Linked DNA regions of Struthio camelus. The protein of the gene in region 1 purifies or fractionates together with the protein of each later gene. This does not show direct contact. Links are inferred from orthologs where the notes say so. Each region holds a gene or a part of one and is shown in the gene's direction. Other genes may lie near its edges.

Evidence for each region. Proteins that work in one complex are often made in the same cells at the same time.
Region 2: the proteins of ING4 (region 1) and BRD1 purify together in Homo sapiens (affinity purification with mass spectrometry; 5 studies listed by BioGRID and IntAct, with this or other methods). This does not show direct contact. The link is inferred for Struthio camelus from reciprocal best matches to the Homo sapiens genes ING4 and BRD1.

The regions. Positions count from the first base shown.
Region 1 is NC_090942.1:90,814,265-90,821,590, forward strand, and holds the start of ING4 (inhibitor of growth protein 4), read left to right. Parts: upstream 1-4,239; 5' UTR 4,240-4,297; coding exon of another isoform or gene 4,298-4,334; intron 4,335-4,601; exon of another isoform or gene 4,602-4,753; intron 4,754-5,797; exon of another isoform or gene 5,798-5,886; intron 5,887-7,326.
Region 2 is NC_090942.1:21,042,283-21,050,192, reverse strand, and holds the start of BRD1 (bromodomain-containing protein 1), read left to right. Parts: upstream 1-4,823; 5' UTR 4,824-4,895; coding exon 4,896-4,944; intron 4,945-6,500; coding exon 6,501-7,881; intron 7,882-7,910. UniProt on the Homo sapiens protein: Scaffold subunit of various histone acetyltransferase (HAT) complexes, such as the MOZ/MORF and HBO1 complexes, that acts as a regulator of hematopoiesis.

The DNA.
Region 1 (7,326 bases):
ACAAAACAGTAACTGAATCTCAGCCGAGACTGATGATAGTACTGCTGATCTGTAATTCAGTTAAATCTTTAAGAAAGATGTAAGACTTAAATAATTTAAAGCCTTATGGTTAATCAACCATGTCCCTTATTAAAGGTTTTCTGTTGGTTATCATTGCCACTGAAAATGCCATTCTATTTTATTTCATTTTTTAATCCATAGGGTCGCGTTATGCCTTTGTTCAGTATATTAAAGTCTTTTGCTATCAGAAATCTTTTTCTTTTATAATGACTTACAGAGCATGATCAAGTCACTCTATTCATCTTCCCAAACAGCGAAATTAAATTGAGCTGTTTTAGGTACCTCGCAATTAGGTTTGGCTCTGTCATGTAGTACTTATCTGTTGCCTTTCTTTTTTTCTTTATGAATGACCAGGCTGTATAGTATTCAGACAGAAGTCATACTATATTAGGCCAACAGTTATCTTTAACCACCAAACTTACATTGCTATAAAAGGATATGTAGTTCTTTTAATAAGATCTTCTTCTTTAAATCAAATAGCTTTTTTTTTTTTTTTTTTTTTTTTTAAGCAGAGTACATCCTGTATCAGTTACATTGTGATTTTGCCAAATCAGTATTAAGTTAACTGGCTTAGAGCCACCTGGATGATCCCATTTCCTTTTAAAATACTTTTGAAATAAAAGTATTTGCTGATCTTCTGGAATACTCTGAGAACTCCAAAGGTGTTTTGAAAAGAAAGCCCATTGCTTCCATCTGCTTGCCAGACAATTTTAAAATTCTTGGTTGTAAGATTCTAGCTATGCAAGTTTTAGGATGTTTTATTTAATAGGTAGAACTAAACATTCTCCTCAGTCTCATTAGCAACAGATAATATTTCATTATGTCTCTCTCAGATTTGTCTGTCATCCAACTTCCTTCTTAATATAGAATATAATTGAGCTACTGCCTCTCTTCTGCATTGTTACTGGTATTTTATCATCTTTATATCTAGTAAAGGATATATATATCACATCTAGGATTTTCTTCTAGCCAATATTTTGCAGGTAATATACCTGAGAGCAGCCCAAGTTTACTAGTACATTTCAGAGCACAGCAGGAAATTGCTTAGTTCTGTGTTTCCTATTCAACAAGATAGGTACCTGTTTAATCTTTTCAGGTAGCACAGACTAAATCTGTGCGCATGGTTTCTTGTTTCTGTAGAGTAGGGCATCCCCTGCCTTACAAAGTATTAGAGAGAGGTAGTGACATGGTCCAACAAACATTTTCATTTCATGGAGTGTCTATGTAATGAATGAAAAAAAAAAAAACTGCAAGAAAAGAAATGATGATTCCAAAGAACTAGAGGCTGCACCTAGTTTTGCTACTGAACTAGGGTATGTTTTTGGAATGTCTGGACACAGCCATAATATGGAGCCATTTGTGTCCTTTTTCATATTTAAAATTAACCAACCAACTTGGGGGGCAAATGCTCCAGATGAATTGTTTGGTGTTTGTGAGAAAGGCGGGTGTGTACGTCTAGTCTTCCCTGCAGAGAGAGAAATATAGAGCAGGGACCTCTGAACTGAGAACGTGAGAGAGTGAGAAGGGTCGAATATGTACCTCTGCAGCAAAAAGGGAAGCAAACAGGCTCTGGAGCTGTAGGCCTCCTTTTGGGGTGTGCATAAAGATCCCTCTGAAGTAGTGGCCTTCACTTGTGGTCCTTGGACTACTTTTAAGAGGTCTGTGAAAGGTAACTGAAAAGCTACAGGCTTAAGTTTGTTATGCAGATGTTTACATTTCCAGGAAAAATGTGCAGGCACCTGTAGACGAATAAAAGTTGAGAACCACTTTTCTAGACTATGTCAGTAGGATAGGCTGTTTAGTTTCCCTGCCTGAGATGCATAGGCCTGCTGGGAAGCACACCCACCACTCATCAGTCAAGCCTTCATGCAAACTAGGAGGCCTTTGCTGCTCTAACCATAGGATGTAATTGAAGTAGCAAATCCCAATATGCTTCTGGGGTGAAAAAAGAGTAGTAACTGTTGGGGTTAGCGTATGTGGCTTTGTTACTAAAATAGTTACCCAGGTATTAATACTATAAGGCTGGCCTCATATGCCTCTGCAGCATATTCCGGTTTAGGGTAATATCCTCCTGTGAAATCACATGTCCATGCTAGTAAAACTAGTTCGTAAAACTATTTCCACTGGAGAGGAGGGAAAAAAACAAAACACACCCCTCACCCAAATAGCTAGCGCAGTAACATTTCAGCTGCAGATCAGGATGCTTTTTGAATCTTGACAGGTATACCTCTCCATGAACCTCAGTGCTTCAGCTTTTTCAAGGAGGCAAACAGAGAGACAGCAAACTTTTCTAGATTCAGAGTCCAGAAACTAATTTTTACTGGATCGGAAGCATTTCTACTGGCTGTCAGACCATACACGTATGCTAAACTGCCTCTCCTCTTTCCTTTCCACTTTCACAGTGGCAGTTAATGAGGTTAAAGATCTATTTGTAAATTTTTCTACAGTTTCCTATAGACCAGATGGAGTCATTTACTCCATTTCAGTAGTCTAGTGTGTTTTGCCATCTTGCTAGCTGTGGCTCAGAGGGTTAAGATGGGAGTGCCGAGTGATCTCTTAACAAAAAGAGGTGACGTCCAAGAATGCCTAGTTCTTAACATCAGCTCCATCCAGCCTGGTAGTTCCAAGCAGGATGCATTTTGGGGTTTCTGGATTAGGACTGTGGAGGGGTATAGGAAGCAGATGTCATGCAGTAGCCACATCCTTCCCCTTAATTACGAGTTTAAGGCAATTTATACAAGAATGTGGAAATACTTTTAAGAAAAAAGGTGTAGTGAGGCTTAACAATAACGTTCAGCTTAATTGAAACCAACTGCACCACAAGGGAACTGGAAAGAATCAGAAATAAGTGTTTTAAGTAATTAAATCATAAATAACCTAAATGAGGATATGAGAGATGTAGAGAAGATACAGAGATAGAGAGAGAGAGCGCGATACAGAGAAGTAGAGAAGAATACTGCATCTTTAAAACACAGTGGACCTCTGAATTAACCCAACAAGCAAAATGGTAGATAAAATGAAATGTTTGAATTATAAGTTTCTTGAAGTCTTGCACTGCAGGCTGCTAAAAAACACTTAATCCCAGTATGTCTATGTAAGTAAAGGTCTGGCACACTGGGAGATCTTTGGGAGAAAAGAGCAGAAACAAGCCTGGTCAGTTTTTCCTCATGGCCAGAGTCTAGCAGCAAGGTACCCTGTACAACGACTGTTACTATACAGTCTTATCAGGAGACTCAGAAAAAACAGAACAAGGTAGGCAAGTGGACAGGAGAACAGCAGATGAAATGTTTGCCAAAGGTAAGCTCAATGCCCCATACATGTTATAGCATGCTAAACTAACCTTAATCTCATCAAGTGAAAATCCTGAACATTATAGATCCTAAGTCCAAAAGAATTAAGATAATTTTCATTTTGGCTCCTCTGTAACCACAGTTATGACCTCACCCTCTTTATCTAGCACAATACTATTCCTTGCATGTGCAACCACTAGCAAAAGACGACTTGGCAAAGGGTTTCTGAAGTCTGTAGCGAGGGGATCATTAATCTACGAGCAACTTGTATACAGTTATGAAAGTGGCAACAGCAAAATGCAGAAAAGATGACATGCTCACATGTTTAACTTTCAATTTCATTGGTTTTGTTGATTAGGTACGTTAAATTTGTACCATGATCATTTTACAACAAAGACAGCCTCTGGTTATAACACAGCAGCAGTTGATGCTAGCTGGCCTATTATAAGGTAAATGGGACAATACAGCGCCGTAACAGACGAACGGCACTTCCTCACCCAGATGATCCAGCAGGAGTGCCCAGGCAGGCTCTCGAAAGTTATTCGAAGGCAGGAGACCTCCATCGCCTCCAGAAGACGGGGGCCCGTTTCCTTTAACGGCGGGCTGGAAGAAGCAGGTATTTGCCCTCTCAGAGCAGAGGGCAGTCAGGAAAAGGCTGCATTGAAACCGCTCGCCCCGCGGGCCCTGTCCCTGTCCCTGTCCCCGTCCCTGTCCCCGCCCCCGCCGTTACAGCCGCCGCGCAGCTGCCCCGCGGCCAAGAGGCGGCCACAGCGTCCGGGTCCCTCCCGGCTCCGCTCCCCGCAGCGCCCAAAATGGCGGCCGAAGCCGAGCGGAAGCGCGCCTATAAAGAAGGGCGGAAGCGGACTCCGCCACGGGGAGGGGGAAGGGGGGCGTTTCCGGGGCGGGCAGCGGCCTGCCCGGAAGTGCCTGCGTGCGCGGGGCCCAAGATGGCGGCCGGGATGTACCTGGAGCACTACCTGGATAGTAAGAGCCCCGGGGGGCGGGGCCGCGGGCGGCGGCTGGGGCCGCCCCGGCTGGAGGCCGCGGGGGCACGGACGGGCCGTGCCCGGGGGCGGGGCCCCGAGCTCTGCGCCGGGGCGGACCGGGCCCCGGAGCGCCCGCGGCCGGGCGGCGGCCTTGTCCCGGTTTCACCCGCGGGCCTTGCTGCGGGGAGACCCCGGCCCGCCCGCGCGGACACGGCGGCGGCGGCGGCGGCCCGCCCGGGCAGGGCGCGGGCTGCCCCTCCGCCGTGGGGCGGGGCGTGGCCGGGGCTGCCGCGCCCGCCGGTGCGCCGCCGGCAGCGCCTGGTTTGTCAGTGGGGAAAGGACTGAGGGGCTGTTTTGCGCCGCTCTTCAGGAGCGGCCGCTTGAGCGTCCCCTTGGACACACGGTGCCGTAGCAGCGGTGAGATGGAGCGGAGGGTGACCGCTGTGTCTGTGGGGACATCGTTTCATCGGCTTCCTTTGTTTATGGTGGTTTTAAAGGCGCGGTCTCGTTTACGCGGGTCGAAGAAGAGCTGTATGCGTGCTCATGGCGTTGGTAGCATTCCCCGAGCTGTCCCGTGGTATCGTCTTGCTTTAAGTTGCTTATAACTTTGTCAGACTCTGCCTTTTGGGGGATAATGCTCTGAATGCTTTTTTTCTACTTATTCTTAAAAATGGTCAAATAGGTGAACTGGGTTGGTTGTTCCTGAAGAAATTTGGTGACCTGTTCTTTGATGAACCTTATTTTCACTTTTTCTTTCTGACCTGGTCCTTAGGCACCAGCAAGGGTAGTGACCGGCAGCATTTTAAAAGCATAGAAGTACTTGCAGTGTGTCTTTTACTTCATGTTCTATGGCCAAGTTGAATGTCTTGTCATCTGTCTGCATATGATTGGAAACTTCAGAGCTTTCAGCTTGATTCTTCAGAAATCCAAGCTACACTAGGCTTCCCCCAGCACAGAGTTGCCATGAGGAAACAGGCTAATATGGTGTTGAAATGGAAACCAAGGGTTCATTCCCATGTTCCTTCAGTGCTCCCTTTGTCATTGGGGGGCTGGGGGGAGGGAAGCTATATGTATTAATTTCAGAAAGTTCGAGAATGAGAAGAAATGATACTCTATCATGACAACTGAAGAGAAGAAGCTAGAAATGAACAGGCAAGAACATTGATCTAGGACTGTGAGGAAGAGGGATGCAAAAGGCAGGAAGAAACATTGGATGAGGAGGCAGATTACTAGAGAGGAGCAAGGACTAGCTGAGCAAAGATGTACGTTCTTCTGCTCTTCTCATTGCGTTACGGATGACTGCGCTTGGCTGAGGCTTCTGAGCAAAGATGCCTTGGAGAGGGGAGGATGGGAACAGCTGTGGGCTGCATGAGAGAGAAAAGAAGCAGATGGGACAAGGAGTAAGCGCATAAGGGGGATGTAGCTTTTTCCTAATAGGAAAAAAAATATTTTCTGGGTAAGAGCCTGGAGCGTGAAGATAAAGGAATGAAAAACTGGGATGCAGAACCAGAAGGCAAGGATGAGGAAGATGCAGTATTGAATGTTGAGAGGTATGATAGATATCTGTGGTATAATAAATGCCAAGCTGGGAAGAAAGGAAACTGTACATGAGCTTGGTGGCTAGAGAGTGCGCCCATCAAAGCCAAACACTTGGATCTCATTGTCACTGGCAGCTAAAATCCGTGAAACTGCTGGAACTACTCTGTTCCCCTCTAGGGCAACCATGGAGAGAAAATTACAAGCTGTTATTGTTTTCTCTCAACTAAGATGCGTGTTGCCCTGCAACTGAAGTAGTTTATCATCCTGTTGAATATGGATATCAATGTGGTATTGTGCAATGTCATGCTTTTAAGTGTGTTTTGCTCTAAAAAAAATGCGCGCAATCTAAGTATATTTAAAAAAAAAAAACTGGCTACAATGACATTAGGAAAACTTCCACAGCATTGGCGTAGCCTTTTCTGCATACTGCTAGAGCTCTTAAGGCCATTGTTGATTATTTTGTCTGGTGTCCTACATACAATGTTACTTCCCTTTATTAGATACTTGTAAGACAGTTGTTGCTCTTAAGCTAGAGTTTATCTTTTAGAAAAGCTCATGGTACAGATTTTAATACTTTCAGTCAAAGAGAATCCTTCTCAGTCCTTGGTAAGGTAGTTTGCTGATTAGGCTTCTCTATCATGGTTTTTGACTTTTGTCTCAAGTTAATTTTCGTAGTTCCAGTATTCAACCATTGCACCCATTTTGCCTCTTACCTATCAAGCTGAAGTGTCCCCTCGTAAACAGTTTCTTCCCTGTGTAGATTGTAATTAATTAAATCTTAATTTAGCAAAAAAAAAAAAAATCTCCTGTGATAACATAGTTTTCAATTCTCTAATTAGCCTTGTTGTTCTTCTCTAAGCCTTCTCTAACCTTTTGGCATTCTACTTGAACTTCTGACTCTCTGAAAATGTGTGCAGCCCTTTATTACCAGTCTTCATAGTGCTAACTAAAGAAGTCGGGTTATCATTCTGTTGGGTATACCCTTATCCCTGTTCACCATTGTGTTTCAGCTGGGAGCTCATATTCAGGTAATTATCTACCATGATATTCAAGTCTCACTGCTTCTCAGAAATATGGTCCAGCATCCTGTATCCATCACTCTTATTGTTCACTGCTAAATGTATTACCCTGTGTGAGACTTCATGGAAAGTATGTGTTTCCATTCAGGCTGTATCTTGCTGTCCTATTGGTCTGTTCCTTTCATTCTCGTTTTTCCAGTCTGTTATCTCATTTACAAGTGATCAGGAACTTTTCTTCTGTTGGATCAAGAACTGCTTCATGTGAAATTTGCACAAGTGATGCAGCCACCAGTGATAATTCTCTATAATGCCTTCTAAAGCCTTGTTATAGAACCATTTAAATTCATTTTAATGTATCTTATGTTCATTTTTTTATCTTTCTAGTTTGTTATGCAAAATGCTTTCTGATACCAGCTCAAGTATATGATATGA
Region 2 (7,910 bases), about 70 Mb from region 1:
CACTGCCTGCCCGTATCAGCCTGAAGTTTAGGAGATTACACTTCATGGATGGGGTATTTTTGCAAAATTTGTCCTGTGCACAGGAGACAGCTGGAAGATATATCTTGGGAAAAGCCATGTAAGTATTGCTTACCAGAGAGTAAAGCATGGGTTCAAAATGCAAAAAGATGGTGAAATAGTACAAATTTAAGGAGCATTGCATTACTGAAGGGATGCCTAGCTGCTGAGCACTGTTAACTTCCCTGGTAGAAAAAAAGAAACTGGAGAAGTGCCAGACTTGTGCCTCAGACACATGAGAGTATGGACACCATCAAGCACTCTGTGGAAAACTTGTCTCCAGCTGTAAAGCATTTGTTCGACTGCAGGACAGATAATACATGTGGATTATCGCTTAAAAGACAGAACGACGTGTTTTCTAGCCTAAATGATTCTTAGTATTAGCTTCTTGACAGTGTTTGTCACCCTACTCATTTTTATCTCAGCCTGCTACTTAAGACTGTACACTAATGTATACGACTTAGTATGCTGCTTCCTCTTTAATATCTTTGTCTCACAATCTGAATTCCTATGCAACTACATTAACTTAAGTCAGCACCTTGTAAGACTTCTTAAACTGACAATGTGCTTATTTAAATGATGTAACCAGAAAGTGATTCCTCACAAGCAGGGTGCAAATAAGCTCCATAGTGCATATATTTTCTTCTTCCCCCCACCCCCCTCAGATGTAAAATTGAAGATGCTTGGCCAATCTGCTCCTAAAGACCTATTTCTTCACTGAGTGCGCTGTACAAACGTTAGCTCTTTTGGTGGATTCTGCTTTGTTAGAAAGCAAGCTGCTGGGTGGTCCCCGATGAGGCAGAAAAATGAGTTAGAAAGTATTTGCACTGCCTATTCCACAGGGTTTCCCTAGCTAAGTTACTTAAGCTCTCTGGACCTTAATTCACTTGCTACAAGTAAATAATGACAGGTGTATCTATGTCTGATTTCCTAGTTATAAACTTACTGTTGGACAAGCTGGTGTTTGAGGCGAGCCAACACTGTAGTACTAGAAACCATGCAAGAGTAAACAGGTAAGTTATTTTGAAGAAAGCTTTAACGAATGTGTGGTTGGTACAGATGGATGAGGAGTACCATGTGTACTCCTCACTGCTTTTCTGTTTAGTGCGTACAGGGCTTGCTCCGTGTGATAGGCAAAGACAAGTGTTTGTCCCGGACTGGGCTAGCTGAAAAGGAGACATTTAAGCATGTGGGTGCAGCTGTCTTACAGAAGCAGATACAGTAAAATCCGCCAAATCTAGACTATGGCTGCAACGGCAGTCTAAAAATAGTACGTAACAAAGGGTGCTCTTTGCATGGAGAGCTAGAAATAACTCGCTTTTGTTTTGTCAAAATGTAAGGATATTGCTGATTGCTTGAAAGCAAAAGCCTGACCTACACGAGTTAACTTGCAAGCTCTGACTTTCCCTAAAGAAATAACTAGTGCCAAATATTGCAGTTTTGAGCCCTGGCTTTCCAACACGCAAGTCCTGTGCTGTTTCCTGCACCCCATTTTGTTGACCGTGAGCTGGGTGTTTCGGCTTTCTCTGTAAGGGCGGACGTGACCGAGCTCGGTCGGCGAGCCCGAGGCAGCCGCGTCGCAACGCGCCGGAACAGGCGTCTCGAAGCAGGCGGAGCGGGGCCGGGCCGGCAGAGACCGGCCTGAGCCGGCGGCGCGGCGCGGCGCGGCTGGGCGCGGGGCCGCGGCGGCCCCTTCCCGCCCTGCGCCCTGAGGCGCAGCGTTGCCGCCTCGCCGCGCGCCCCGCGCCTGCCCGAGCCAGGGCGCGAGGCGGCCCCCTCCCTCCGCGGCCATTGACGGCGGGGCGGGGGCAGCGGCAGCTCGAGGCCCCGCCCCGCAGGGCGGCGCGGCGGCGGCGGCCGGGCTGGGCGGTGCCTGGCGCCCTCACGTCCCTTCCCTCTCCCTCCCCCCCCTTCCCCCCCCCCCCCCCCGTCGGCGCAGCGCTGTGGTGAAGCCGCATTGTTTGTGCCGAGGGGGGAGGGGAGATTCTCAGCCCCGGGAGCTGAGCGCCGAGCCCGCAGCCGGACCGCGACCTGCGCCGTGCCTCACGAATGCGCCGCGCCCGGCTGCAGCCGCAGCCCCCCACCCACCGACGGGTCGCGGCCGCCGGCAGCGCGGCCCTCGCGGCGCCCGCTTGCCCGCCCGGGGCTGCTGGGCGCGGGACCAGGCGGCAGCGCCGGCGGGACCTCCGCCATTAAACCGGCCGCAGCGTCGGCCCGCAGAGGCGGAGCGGGAGGGTCTGTCAGCCGCGCTTTCAGCGGCTCCCATAGCGTGAGTGAAGGCGGGCGGGCGGCGGGCGCCGGGGGCTGCGGGGCCGGGAGCCGGCGGGTGCCGGCGCGGCGAGGCAGAGCCCGCTGGGGGAGCGGGGGGGAAGGGAAAGGCGGGTCGGGCACGGCCAGCGGGGGGGCGCGGGGCGGCTCGGGGCGCAGCGGGCGGGGAGGCTGCGAGGGGGAAGCTGAACGCGGCGGTCTGGGGGAGGGCGCCGCTCGGGCTGTTTTGTCAGCCGCCATATTGGTGGGCCGAGTATTTTCGCGGCGGGGAGGGAGGTGGCTGTTGGGAAGGGCTGGAGATGATGGGCCTGGGCAGGAACCATCCTGGCGGGGGCCGGGAGGGGGGAATGCCGCGGCCGGGCAGGAACCATCGGCGCGGAGGGGTGTGTGCGCGCTGGCGGCTCCCTGGGCGTGGGCAGGAAGTGTTCGCGCAGAAGCCGGCTGTGGGCGGGCCCGTGGGCAGGGCGGCCCCGCGCGCGGGCGCCGTGGGGCGGCGGGGGCGCGCCGGGAGCCGGGGCGAGTGCCTGATCCCGGGAGGCGGGGGAGGGGAGAGCTGCCGGGGCGTCAGTAGCGTCGGCGGCCTCCTTCCCGCACCCCTCACGCTCAGGGGAAAGAGCGGCTGTGGTGATGCCAAGTGGCGTAGCCTACGCCGGGCCGATCGGGCGGGTTACGTGAGCGCTAATTCTCCGCATTCCCCTGAGGGAAATGGTCCTGCTCCGCAGCTGAAACTGAGGGTGGTGTCTTCCCTGTGTGCATGCAAGCAGTGTTTGCTTACCCTCATTGTCTAGGACTAAGGAGCATTCCTGTGTCTTTCTCTTCTTAATGGTCTGCATGAAAGTATCCATTGAGAATGGCATTCTCTTTTCCACGGGACAGGGGATCCAGGCACCAAAGGCGATTGTTTGGAGTGGAGGAGGGTAACTAGGAGAGAGACTGCAAAGGGATTCGTAATCAGAAAGCGTGTGGTGTTATACTTTTCTGTTGGTTTTAGCTATCCTACACCTCAGTAAAAGCTACTTTTGCCTCATACTGCGCATTCCACATAACCAGCTGTCTTCGTGCACTTTTGTTGTGAGGGAAAGTGTCTGCCGATGACTTTTTTTCCCAAGCAGCTGATGTAATTCCAGGAGAGGAAAGCTATGGATAACTTTCCAGTTTTATCTCCTACAGCCTTTGAGTTGTTATAAGAGGCAGAAGAGTGCTAGCAGAAATACGTTATTTGTATTTTCCCATCAGTGTGATATCGCTATTAATGCTGAACAGAAACTGTTATCTGACTTTACTGGTTTTCAAACCTGTGCACGTGGTCTTCATTCCTGTGGATCTGCAGCTTACTACTGAGGGGAGGGAAGAAAGGTGCCTGTGATAAGTAACTCGGAAAAGCAAAGCAGTTTGCCAGCTGTAGATTCATTATGCAGAAACCTGGTCTTCCTCTGGAATATTTTTAGGAAGTTTGTAAATAGGAGTTTTTAAAAAAAATAAAAACACAAAACACAAAATACTTCTTTAACTCCCAGAGCGTTTAAGTTACTCGCACTGAGTTTCTAGAAAATTAGGCCAGAGGAGCACCAATTCCAATTCTGTGTTCATTTCATTATATTTGTAGGGTATACATTTTCCATGTAACTGTGGTTGTAATTTGTTTTCTAGTTTAGTTTTATTTGCAGGTGAATATTACAGAAAAGGTGCTTAGATGCTAGTCCAATCGTTTTTATCTTTCAGGTTCATACAATTTCTTTTATTTGACATTTATGACAGCAGTTATAAGTCCCAGTGCAAGAACTTGTGCTTTAAAATATTTTTTCCTGTTCCTGTTGCCGGGTTGCGTAAGAATTTTGGCAGGGGAACGGTAAGAGGTTGGAAATCTAACATTAATGGATTTTTTTCTATGATACTGGGTTAAGTTACATGGGTAAGTGTGGACAAGAAGCCTATTTTCTGATTTCTGAAGGCTACCTCTCTCATCCCTACCCCATTAATTTGTCAAAACAGTCACTGTCATGATGAATAGTGTGGGTGGTTGCGCATGTTTAGTAGTTGTAGGAAGAGACATTAAGTTCGTCTAGATTTTTAAGAGGGAAACTTTTTTAATGATTTTTTTTTCTTGCTTGTTGATTAAATGAAAGACAAGTATCAAAAAAATCAACAATATAAAGTGACACCGTACTAGTCAGTAGCAGGTTGCTGTACATCAGCACATATATGTTTTTTATTTGAATAATCCCTAATGTTGCTAGGTGTGTATGTTAATAAACAGAAATCAGAGCAAATGTGTTATCTTTGGCCCCTGAATTACAAATTCTGATATGGGAACTTTAATTCCAGATAAATTATCGGTGTATCTTTATTTCTAGTTATTGGACCTTTTATACCACTATTAGTGGTTTAAACTTCTTCAGTCGGTAAGAAATTGGTGTGCTTAACTCGTATCTTGTAGAATTCAGTTAAGTATTTCACCCAAACTTATATGAAGAGAGGTGATCTTTTCTGTTCATCTGTTTATAGAGAGCCGGTGAGAGGCCTGTAATGATTGAACACTGAGTGTCCTTTTTTGTGTCTGTGTTTAGCCTATGAAACATATAATAAGATTTAAGGAATATCCATCTAAAAGCGAGATCTGTAAGTAACACTTGCATGGATAATAAAACTTAGTTTTTTTTTTTTTTTCTCTTCACTTCTCTTTGGGAAAACAAGATCAATCTGTGCAAGCAGATAAAACTAGCTCTTCAGAGGGTCTGATCTAAGGTAGCTACTTAAAATATCTGGTCATCTTTAATGGAGTTCCTGCAGAATTGTGAAGGTACACTTTCAGGGAGATTGACATCATAGACTGAACAAAAGCAAATGCAGGCTGTGGATAATTGATGTATTAATTGTTCCAGTCTTTCCGATTTTCTACATGTGTTAGCTATGGTTCTCTTTCACTGTAATTGTATTTTGGTCTCTGTATTTGTCTATTTGTTGTATGCTAACGCTAGTTGAATTATCTTGGCTACTAAATAGCATTGACTTGAATTGCAGAATTTCTAACTTGATCAGAATTGGAATGGTGAGGCCCTAATACTTTGAGCAAACGGTTAAACATCAGGAGTATTTCTTTTCTGTAGCTGACAGCTATGCTTGCTGTTTATTTATTAGGAATTTATTAGGAAGAAAAGCGAGGGGAATAGAGAACGAACTTATTAGCTTGACTTGATTAATTTGTCTTTTGTCTTATTTTCTTATCTTTCATCTTTCTTGTCTTGTCTTATTTTCAACCCCCAGAAAAGAAAAACATTTTGAAAATGTTGTTCTGAAAAGCAACTTGAAAATGATGTTATTTTATTTTAGAAGAAGCCTTGGGTTTGGATTTAAAGAGAGTGAGATTGTTATCTACCCCAATTGCTCTGAGAACAAATCCTGAAGAATTGGTTGAAAGATAAGGGTGTTTATATGTGTGTTTACACACACACACAAGCACAGTGAATTTTTCAGTATGTTCTAGGTCAAATCTACTTTACGAGTTGAATGTTTCATAATTGTGGTCCATGCTTCAGTGTTTTGCAAGTCAGATTGTGTTCTTGTTCTTTGGTGCATCTCACTGGAGTTTAAAGTCTTAACACTGAATAAGGGTCGTCCTCCTAATGTGGGCCCACTTAAAACAGTAAAATTACATTGATGCTAGTAACTCTCTAGTAATGACAACGAGGTGAGGTGATTCTTAAATATAACACTTAGAGAAACTAGGGAGAGATGAAGAAAACCTGTTGATGTTGAACAAATTTGAAACTACAGACACTCTTTATGAATTGGAAGTTTTGTATTATAGAGACGTTTTCTTACAGTATATCAAAACTGTATTTTTTGGTGGCACTTATGAAATGTTTTCTCTCTGTTACAGAATTGCTACAGTTAGTGTGTATGTAGCACTTATTTTATAATATGAATTCTGTACAGTGGTACTTATGTAAGAAGCTAATATTTAGGAGATCTTACTTTCTGTCGTTAGGTAAAATTTTTCAAAACAGCCTGAGCAGTCCTGTTCAGTAAAGGTGACAGGTTAACTGATCTCTCGGAAATTGGTTAGATAGTTTGGGGGTTATACAACTTTTAAGGGTTTTTTCCTACTAAAATAAAGCTAATATTTTAATGTAAATGTTTGTAGTTCATTGTACTAACTGTTGCTCTTATTGTAGGTAAACATTACCAAATGAGGAGAAAAGGAAGATGTCATCGAGTATCGGCAGCAAGGCATTCTTCTTCCCCATGCAGTATTAAGCACTCCCCCACACGAGAAACCTTGACGTACGCTCAAGCTCAAAGAATGGTTGAAATAGAAATTGAAGGTCGCCTGCATAGGATCAGTATCTTTGATCCGTTAGAGATTATATTAGAAGATGATCTTACAGCCCAGGAAATGAGTGAATGCAACAGCAATAAAGAAAATAGTGAAAGACCACCAGTTTGTCTAAGAAGCAAACGGCATAAAAATAACAAAGTGAAAAAGAAAAATGAAGTTCTTCCAAGCTCACATGGTATACCCGCTACAGCAGCTCCACTTCCAGAACCAAAAGTACGGATTGTTGAATACAGTCCACCTTCTGCTCCTCGGCGACCTCCAGTTTATTATAAATTCATTGAAAAATCAGCAGAAGAACTTGATAATGAAGTTGAGTATGACATGGATGAAGAAGATTATGCATGGTTAGAAATAATAAATGAGAAGCGGAAAAGTGATGGAGTGTCAGTTGTGTCACAAAATATGTTTGAATTCCTTATGGATAGGTTTGAAAAAGAGTCTTATTGTGAGAACCAAAAACAGGGTGATCATCAGTCTTTAATTGATGAAGATGCAGTGTGTTGTATATGCATGGATGGTGAATGTCAGAACAGCAATGTAATCCTATTTTGTGATATGTGTAATTTAGCAGTACATCAGGAATGCTATGGGGTGCCATATATACCTGAGGGCCAGTGGCTCTGCAGACACTGTCTGCAATCCCGTTCTCGGCCTGTAGACTGTGTGCTGTGCCCAAACAAGGGAGGTGCCTTTAAAAAGACTGATGATGATCGATGGGGACATGTTGTGTGTGCTTTGTGGATTCCAGAAGTTGGATTTGCCAATACAGTTTTTATTGAGCCAATTGATGGTGTCAGGAACATTCCCCCCGCCAGATGGAAGTTAACATGCTACCTCTGTAAACAGAAAGGTGTTGGTGCCTGCATCCAGTGCCACAAAGCAAATTGCTATACTGCATTCCATGTGACGTGTGCTCAAAAAGCTGGCCTATATATGAAAATGGAACCTGTGAAAGAACTAACTGGCAGTGGGACAACGTTCTCTGTGAAAAAGACTGCATATTGTGATGTACATACTCCACCAGGTTGCATACGGAGACCTCTAAATATTTATGGAGAAGCTGAAATCAAAAACGGTGTTTGTAGAAAGGAGGGATCAGTCAGAACTGCTAGGTCTACATCAAAAGTCAGAAAAAAGACAAAAAAGGCCAAGAAAACAGTGGTTGAACCCTGTACAGTTATGCCAACAGTATCTGCTCCTTATATCCCCCCCCAGAGGTAAGCAAACCATCCAGCTGAGAGAAACG